Linked DNA regions of Mus musculus. The protein of the gene in region 2 purifies or fractionates together with the protein of the main gene of each other region. This does not show direct contact. Links are inferred from orthologs where the notes say so. Each region holds a gene or a part of one and is shown on either strand. Other genes may lie near its edges.

Region 1 (4,594 bases), on a different chromosome or scaffold from region 2:
CTGTGTTTAAGAAAACGGGCTATGGAGGGAGACTCACTTTAAACCTTCTGCTTTACTACTAAACTAACTCCACGCACTAGGCAATTGCTTAACTGACTGCCCAACTTCCTCTTTGGAAAATCAGGGAGGGGCTGGAGACATGGCTCAGCGGTTAAGAGCACTGACTGCTCTTCCAGAGCTACTGAGTTCAATTCCCAGCAACCACGTGGTGACTCACAACCATCTGTAATGAGATCTGATGCCCTCTTCTGGTGTGTCTTTAGACAACTACAGTGTACTCATATAAATAAAATAAATAAATCTTTTAAAAAAAGAAAGAAAGGAAATCAGGGAAAATAAAGTCTAATCCATCAGGCTACACACTGCACAGTGCAGTGCCTCTGACACTGTATTAGTACAGTAACTTACATTATTGATATTGGCCCCCAAAAATCTTCTTTTAGCAGAACACCTATTTCTAAATAGTCCAAAGTATAAAGACATAAGCACTCAATAAACCTTGCTGTATTGCTTTAGTAAAGACAATGTTGAATCTCATTCAAGTTAATACTGAATCTAGGAAGAGTTGTAGAGGCCTCACCACTTTATTTATCCTTTCATCTATCCATCTAGCTATTTGTTTTTATGTATATGAGTGTTTTCCCTACATCTATGCCCATGCCCAAGGAGGCTAGAAGAGGACGGATCCCCTGGGACTGCAGTTACAGATGGTTGGAAGCTGCCAAATGGATGCTGGGAATTCAGATACCAAGGCATTCAAATTTTGTAACTTTCGTCTGAGCTGAGTCTTCCAAGGAAGTCCCACGTTCCCCTGACTTTCAGCACGTTTATTTACAGCTTCATCTGCTTCCAAGTTTCTTCTCTATAGAAGCCAGGGGGGTACATTAACTTCAACCTGACGTCAGCAACAATACACCCTTGGGTCCTCTCGTGATTTTTGCCTGCTTTGACTCACACTGAGAATTTTTCCAAACTGCTAATGTCCAGGCTGACTTCTATGCTAAAAGAATCAGTTGTTTCTAGGGCAAGACCTGGAGATCGGTCTTTTTAAAGCTCTTGGGGAAAAAGTTCCCACCACTGCCAAGTGGAGAAGGCAAACTTCTAGAACTAACCCAAGAGACACTGAATCTCAAAACAATAGTGTAGGCTGGATTTGTAGTTCCAAGGTGGAGGTGCTTCTGTCCACGCAGGCCCACGCTCACGGAAAGGAGGAAGACAACAGCAGAGGGAAGTGCAGAGGGAAGAAAGAAGGAAGGGGGAAGGAGGAAGAAAGGAAGAGAGGGGGAGGGAAGGAGCTGGGAGCGGAAAGGGGAAGCGGGGAGGCAAAAGAAGCGAGTTAGAAAAAGAGGCTATATTTTTCAGAAGCATATGATAAATGATGCATGGAAGAGGACCGAAGAACCAGGTTCGCCTGGTAAGGTCATGTCCTAAACTATTATGATGGAAAACATGTGGAACAAGAAAATCTAGGGACTAGAAGAATCCAAGTTAACAGTGTGTGTGTGTGTCCTTTTGACCATTTTCTTTTATACTATGTTTAACCAATCTACATGCTATAACCTCATGGAAATAATTTATAATAGCGCAAAACCTTGTGTGGAATAATGTCTGGATTTAGTTCCCAGTAAAGCCAGTCTTTCAACTGCTTAAGAAAGTTAGTGGTGACTTAAATGGGAGCTAACCTGCCACAGACACAGGAACTTGCACTGAAAAGCATTGGATCGCTTGCAACACATAAAGTATAAAAAGGTGAGTTAAGGTGGCAAAATAGATCTTGACCCGGTAATGTTTTTCACGGAAATCCTTCTGTCCGCATGCCGTAAACACGCAACCCAACACCCTTGAAAAATGTTTTGTTTTTATAAAGATTGTTATGAAAAGACAACACACACGTCTAATTTTCTTATCTGGGCTTGTTTGAGTTGGCTGGCTATCGCGATTTTTACCCTCTGCTCTAAAAATCATACTCAATTTCAACACCTGCCAGGAGGAAAGGTGATACGAGAGCCTCGCTGTGGCTCTAATGAAGGGAGCCGGCCTCGCGGAATGTGGACTCATAATCATGCCACACTAGCAGAAGCCCCCAGTCTCCCCCGCACAAACCCACGCACTCTATTTGCCCACTTCCTAGGAAAAATCCGACCCTGTCTCACTACCAGCTCCCAGGATCAAACTGAGCTTTACTGGGACGGGATCATCCCTATACCCGGCGGATGCGGAGCCACCCGGGCTCCCACGTTTCCTCCTTGGGTAACCCGCGCCCAGCCAATGAAAGGCCACCCCCCTCTCCGCTCCGTAGCCGCCTGCGCCTGCATCCCCGCGGCCCCTGCGCGAGCGGCAAGGGATGTCGTCGGGCTGGAGGGTCGCCGCCACTGAGCCTCTTCCGGTGAACCCAGAGCCCTCCCCGCGCCAGCCCCCCGAACCCCCCAGGTACCTGTGGGATCGCCCTCAGCCGGATCAGGGCGCGTCGCCGCCAGAAGACATAGAAGGAGGAGCGGGTAACCAGGCGCCACAAGCGCCCTCAGGCCAGTGTGCGAGCGCATGGCGCGGGCGGGTCTGTCCAGGAGGTCGCTAAGGCACCCTCAGCTCGCTGCGATCCGTCTCCGTTGGTCCCTGTGTACACTTGCTGGTAACTGGGCGCCCACTGCCAGTCCTGGGGACAGGACACTCGAGAATAAACCGAGTGGGAGGGGCCCGGCCGCCCTGGCCTCCACCCCCGAGACGCTCCCAGCGCAATTGCGCCGGCCTTCCATCAATTATGCAGCCCGCAGCCCGCTACCGGCGCGCCCGGATGTGCTGTGCAACCTCGGCGCCGAATCCTCTCCCGCCCCCACCCTCTGGCTAACACAGGTTGGGGAGGGACCTAGCTCCTGGAGCCAGCCAGGTGTGTGTACCCCATCACCTCCCGGAGGGGTTGCAACTCCCCACAGAGTGTTCTTTCCATCCGTTGGATGGGTTCACACATTTACTTTGATGTGACAGGTGAAAAGGACCGGATAGTTCTGCTCCTATACATCTTTGGATGTGCAAAGGTTTCTTCTTACCAGACCGAGGGCGCTATTCAGTGCCCCCAAGCCCGGTACTTAAATTAATGTTTCTCAGAGCTTTCTATTAGTCGTGCATACCCTCCCCCTCTGAAGGTTTGGCCAGTTCCCTCCGGATTAAGATTTCAGAGTCCCTAGGCCCCACAGTGTGTTTCCCTTTGTTTGCTTGCGGCAACAGCTCTCCTGGCGCCAAAGAGCTCACCAAACAAAAACTAAGTTAAGGGGATTCTGTGTAAATGGCAGAAGGCCATTCATCTTTGTCAAACATTGTGGAATACAATGTTATCTCTTACCCACGCGGGGCCGGAGGTTGAAGTTTCTTACTCTCCTATCAAATAAATTGAGATAGTTCAAAACAATTGTTTTCCTATTCAGCGGGAAAGGCGTCTAGGTTAAAACTAGTGAGCCTTAAATCCGGGGCACTCAGCAAGCCCTACTTAGTAGCCCTTTGTCCCTTAGGAACCTCCACTCAGGTAAAACTGAAGGAAGGAATTAAAGAATGATGTGGTATGAAGCAGAGCTGGAGTTAATTAAAAAGAGGGTTTTCTCAGAGTAGATTTAAATATGAGGGCTAATAACAATAAGACACATCCAAGACCAGGTGCATGGGTTTCAGAGCTGTGTTTTAACAGTAACCATAAAGACCATTTTGGTGGCTCCCAAGTTACAACTCAAAGGGGCTGCTAAGAGCCCCTCCCCCCATCCCTCCTTTTTGTAGGGTGGCTACAGGGGCGCCTTTCGTGGAGTTACAGTCTGATAAGATCAAAACATGGACTGCAAGCGTTCTACCGGATAGTTAAGACATTTCCTTTTGTTGTAAATGGGGTTGCAGGTGAGATTCCTGGAAAACTGTGGGCTTATACATGGAGAAGAAGAAAAGTCATGTCATTTACGCTGAGGGCATTAAACGCGACCCGTAGCAATTTTTACCTTTTTGTTTGAGGTCTCTATGAAGATAATAGTGTCTCTGTGTAACACAGCAAATACTAGTTGTGATGGAATGCTTGCCTGAGGTGGGGGCAGGTCTATTATTATTATTATTATTATTATTATTATTATTATTATTATTATATATGAGTACATTGTAGCTGTCTTCAGACCACCAGAAGAGGGCATCAGATCTCATTACAGATGATTGTGAGCCACCATGTGGTTGCTGGGATTTGAACTCAGAACCTCTGGAAGAACAGTCAGTGCTCTTAACCTCTGAGCCATCTCTCCAGGGGACAGGTCTTTTCTGGAGTTTTTTGTTTGGTGTGTCTTAGACATAATTTGGCTGTGTTGCTGAGGCTAGCCCCCAGGCCCTGGAGTCATGCAGTTCCTCTATCTCAGCCTCCACGAATGCATGCCACAGCATGCCAATACATTGTGTGCGGGTGGGGGTGGGTGTTGCCTGCATGTAGGTCTGTATCGCATGTGTGCCTGGTGCCCATGGAAGCCAGAGAAGGGCAATGGATCCCTAGAACCTGAGTTACAAACAGTGTCAGCCATCATGTGGATGCTGAGAATCAAACCCTAGTCTTCTCTAGAAGAGTAGTTCTTAACTGCTG
Region 2 (4,570 bases):
CCTGGTGCCTACACCTGGTTCACAGCTGCTTGTAAGTCCAGCTCCGAGAGGGTTGTCCTCCACAAACACACATGAGTTAAAGTAATTTTTAGAGGTTAAGAAAGTATGAGGTTTAGTTATGCCCCTAACAAACTGGAACTGACTAGCTGACAATTTCTCCAAGATCCTCTTAAAAGGCAAGGATTTGGACAAATAAAAACTGGGCAGACATCATCCCTCACCGCCCCGGGGCTGCTGGGACCCTGTTGCTTTCAACTAGTTTTATTGAAATAAGTAGAGATGCTTTGAGGTCCTGGTTTGGCTAATGGAACTCTCAAGAGGGTAAGATAAAAATTCTTTATTAGGGAAGGAGGTCAACCAAGAAAATGATCAACAAGTGGTATCCCGGATGGAGCCAGTACCCCCTGCGGAAAGCAGGGAGACTTGTGGAACTGGGAGCAGCTCCCCTCTCTCTGGTGGAGGGGTTGCTGGAGGTGAGGCTGGACGGCAGGAGGGGAGGGCTCTGGGCAGCCCCATGTAGATGAAACTGCCAGAGAGGATGAAAGAGCTGCACACCAGGAAAGAGGCACTGAAGTCTCCTGTCTTATCCCTTAGGAAGCCTGAGAAGAGGGGAAAGGAATTTAGAAGCTTGGCATCTCAGGGGCAGAAGAGAGTCGTGAGCGAATCCGCGAGCTCAGCCCTTACCTGACAGAGGAGGGCCCAGGAGTCCCCCGAGGCTCATCAGCATCATCACCAGCCCTGTGGCCTGCACCACACCTCCAATGCCCACCAGCCCCGGGAGCACACCGAAAACCAGTGGGGCATAACTCCCAGCGCTCAGCCCATAGGCCCCAGCAGCGGCCAGCAGAGGAGCCCCCCAACCCTCCTCTGTCCCCACAGTGGGCACTAGTCCCATTGCTAGTACCCCTAACCCAGTCAGAGACCCAAACACCACCAGAAGCCTCGGAAGGGGCACCCAGCCCTGGTCTGCCAGCCATCCGCTGGCCAATCGGGCACAGGCATCTCCCACTGCAGCGACAGCCACCACTAACGCTGCCCCATAACCACCCATGCCTTGATCTAAAGCATGCGGACCCAAATGAACGTAGGGGACGAAGTATCCGCCCCCGATCAAGGCGGTGCCCAAAGCAAAGACTGAAAAGGCCCGGCGCTTGAACAGACCTAGGCCAAGGGCAGCTAGGGGGGTGCGAGGTGGGGCCAGCGGGTCACCAGAGAGAGCTAAAGGTCTTAGCAAGGCGCCACAGGGTGTGAGGTGAAGGGTGACAGCGCCAAGGAGGAGCAAGGCACCCCGCCAGCCGAAAGTATCAAGGAGGAACTGCAAGGCAGGTGCCAGGAGCAGCGAGGATGCCCCATTACCGGTGAGCGCCAACCCTACCGCCAAGACCCGACGGCGGGAGAAGTACCGAGAGAGGGTACCCAGGGCTGGGGCAAACACCAGGGCCCAGCCAGAGCCTGCAAATGGATAGGACAGGATGAGGGTACAGGCATGGCTTTGCAAACATTCTTTAGCCCCTCTTCTCCTCTGCACGCTCACGCGGACACACACACACACACCGCCTTGTACAGTCCCCTATCCTATAAGAAGTTCCTGTCCCCATTATCACCCCTTAAACATACAGCCACCCCACTCTTCTTACCAGCGAGGAGGCCCAGGCCGAGGTAGAGGTGCAGGAGGCTTCGGGCGAAAGCCGAGAAGACCAAGCCAAGCGAGGTTAGGACTCCCCCAACCATCACCACGGGGCGTGCCCCCCAGCGAGTGCTCAGGGCGCTGCCCACTGGGCCTAGAAGGGGGCGGAGTCAACGAAGACATGCCCCGGGACCCCCAAACTATCCGAAACATTTCTCATTGGCTGTTTTGCCTGGCCTGGTAACTCCTCCCATTGACCTCAAGACCCACTCTTCTAGAATTTGGTTCCACCAGTAACTCTCAGGTTGTCTGGTAATCAAGTCTGCTGTCTCCCATCACTACATCCACGGCCTCTCCACCCGGTGCCCGCCTCCCACCTCGGGGGGCCCCCCTCACTGGCTGCCTGCTGCACGGCCAAGGCCAGGGCGCTGACCCACGCAGTGTCCTGGGCGCTTCGTTCAAAGTGCTCCGCGAGGTCGGGGAGGGCAAGGCCCAGGGAGCGTAAGAGCCCGTAGGAGAGCCCGTTCACGGCGAATGCTGCGGCCGCCACCACCCAGCCCCAGCCCCCGTCCGGGGGTCCGGCCGGCTTGGGGGTCATCGCCGTCTGCTGGGGTGGGGAAACACCTGTGAATGAAGTCTCCACGCCTGGGCCTCCGCTAGGGAGCTGACGTCCCTGAGATCCAGCCTCGGGCTGCTCGCCCAGGGAGGGCACGTCGCCCGGAGCATGGGCGCGGGAACCAGGCCTAGGGATAGAAGTCCTAGGTGCGCGTGAGGTCCTGGGATGGAGGGGCAGCAGGATCCCCCAGGCCAGGGGCTCATCCTTCCCAAACCCTCTTTCTCTTACCCGACCTCTCCCGGCGTTGGGGGTAGGGAAAGGGCGAAGGTGGGTTCGGCCGGATTTTCTCCGCGCTTTCCGCAGAAAGGGTTCTGCGGAGCAGCTAGCCAGCACAGAGATGGAGCCCAACTTGGACCGCTCTCTCCAGTAAACAGAGATCACCACAGGGGCCCAAGCCACCTGGGACACGGGGTGGGGGTGGGGGTGAATACCGAGGGCGGGGGAAAGAGAGACAGCCAATCCACCCAGGCCTGGCTAAGGCCTGACGCCGAGTCCCACGAGGATTGAATTATCCACACACGAGCCCCAGCCCTGGTTGGGGAACCGCGAGGAGTGAGCGTACCTGGTGGCCGCGCCCCGCCTCTCCCCGCGCCTCTCACGCCGCGGGGCTCACACCCACGCACCTGCTGCGCACGCAAGAAGAGCCCGGTTGCACTCTTCGCCCGGCCAACTGCCCACGCATGAAAATAGCAGTGGTCTCCAAAACCTAAATGAGTTCTTGGATTCTCGGATTTGTTGTTGAGGATCCTGTAAAGCTCCAACATCAAATCACTCAAATCACTGGCCTCCAATGGACAACACCAGCATGCCCTCACTAGAAAGGAAGGCGAGTTCTCGGTACCAAGACCTGTGATGTTCCAGGCAGTCTTTACATACTTGGCCATTTCATCCTTACAATATCCCTATGAAGATGGCACTATCCCCATTTTACAAATGTAATAGCTGACCCCTAACCCACCCCAAAGCGTTCAGCTAAAAAAAAAAAAAAAATTGAACTTAGGTTTATACTATCGTGGGAGGATACAGGGAGAACAGACCTAGGAGTGACACAGAGATTGGGGACAGTTGAGGGAAAGAGCTTGGAGAGACAGATTGATGTGAACTGTAGTGGAAAGGACAGAATTCATGCAGAGCCACAGTGTGAGGGTGGCTGGGAATAGCTGAAAGGCTTGGGCAAGATTTTTTTTTTTTTAAGGAAGAATTCAGAGAAATAAACCCAGGTGTTTTTCTTGAAGATTTTAACGAGCAACCTTCTTTAGCAGTCACTATTGCTTTACTTCCGCCATTTGATTCATTTGGTTTAATCATTAAACAATGCCATTGAAATTTCAGCGATTTGCAGGTTGGAGCTTATATCAACCCGTAGCCACGGGATGGCGGTGTTTCCTAATTGATGAGAAAGTATCAGCCTAGAAAGGGAAGAAACGTAGCTGAGAAGTCGTGAAACTGGAAGACTAAAGAGAGTAGACAGACTTTCAGAAGCACATCACTGTGTTTGGGGAAGGCCTCACAACCATTAAAGGAGAGCCAGGCTACCTTCCCATCCCACACTCCCACCCCAGGGAATCAGCGTCCTCCCTCCTCAGTAAGTCTACCCTTTTCTCAGTTCTGGGTTTTCACATAAATGGTTTTTCTGCTGAAATGTCCTAGAACAGAAGACCATGAAGGTGTGAGGCCCTGCCACAGACACCTTAGGAAAGTGGCCTCACTGCATTCACCAGCCAGGAGCTGTCTGTGAAAGCCACCGGAGTGGTGGCGCCTGCAGGTACTCAGCCACCAAGGAGGCAGGGAACAGCTGGCTGGTTTCTTGAGAAGGCCAGTAAGAAGTCTGCTCTCTGTAAGTGGAACCCGGCCAGCCCAAAGGAATGGCTCTCTCCGTGATGAAATAGAAATACAGCCAGAGAGGAGACTATTTCTGGGTTGTACCAAATAATGCTGTGTACTTTGGCAGAATGCAAAATCCGGAGCCTAGGGTGATTGGTTGTGAAAGGGCATGTTCCTCGTCTTCCTCATGCTCATAGCCAGAGCCAATGTGTGTTGTCCATGGAGTTAATGAACATTGGAAAAGTGGACCCCCTACCTAGAACCCCAAGAAGACTTACTAAGCTTGACTCTCGCTTCGCTATCTGAGTGCAAACGAGGATCTGCTTCCTTGTTTTTCAAATGGTTATAATAACAGTTACCTGATAGGGTTGTTGTAAGGATTAAATTCGTCATGGCGTATGCATGTGAAAGTAAGAGACTTAGAGCAGTGTCTGAATAGGATCCGTAACAGCCCTCACGGGCACCACCGTAGCCCAGGGCAACTGGACAAGGCTCTATCTACA

What was found.
Region 1: the proteins of Slc16a11 (region 2) and Emb purify together in Homo sapiens (co-immunoprecipitation; 3 studies listed by BioGRID and IntAct, counting the BioPlex papers as one, with this or other methods). This does not show direct contact. The link is inferred for Mus musculus from reciprocal best matches to the Homo sapiens genes SLC16A11 and EMB.

Annotation. Positions count from the first base shown.
Region 1 is NC_000079.6:117,218,798-117,223,391, reverse strand, and holds the start of Emb (embigin precursor), read right to left. Parts: upstream 2,820-4,594; 5' UTR 2,544-2,819; coding exon 2,435-2,543; intron 1-2,434. UniProt on the Homo sapiens protein: Plays a role in the outgrowth of motoneurons and in the formation of neuromuscular junctions.
Region 2 is NC_000077.6:70,212,166-70,216,735, reverse strand, and holds Slc16a11 (monocarboxylate transporter 11), read right to left. Parts: upstream 2,827-4,570; 5' UTR 2,472-2,826; intron 2,371-2,471; exon of another isoform or gene 2,235-2,370; 5' UTR 2,226-2,234; coding exon 2,024-2,225; intron 1,782-2,023; coding exon 1,638-1,781; intron 1,453-1,637; coding exon 685-1,452; intron 600-684; coding exon 370-599; 3' UTR 322-369; downstream 1-321. UniProt on the Homo sapiens protein: Proton-linked monocarboxylate transporter. It catalyzes the transport of pyruvate across the plasma membrane.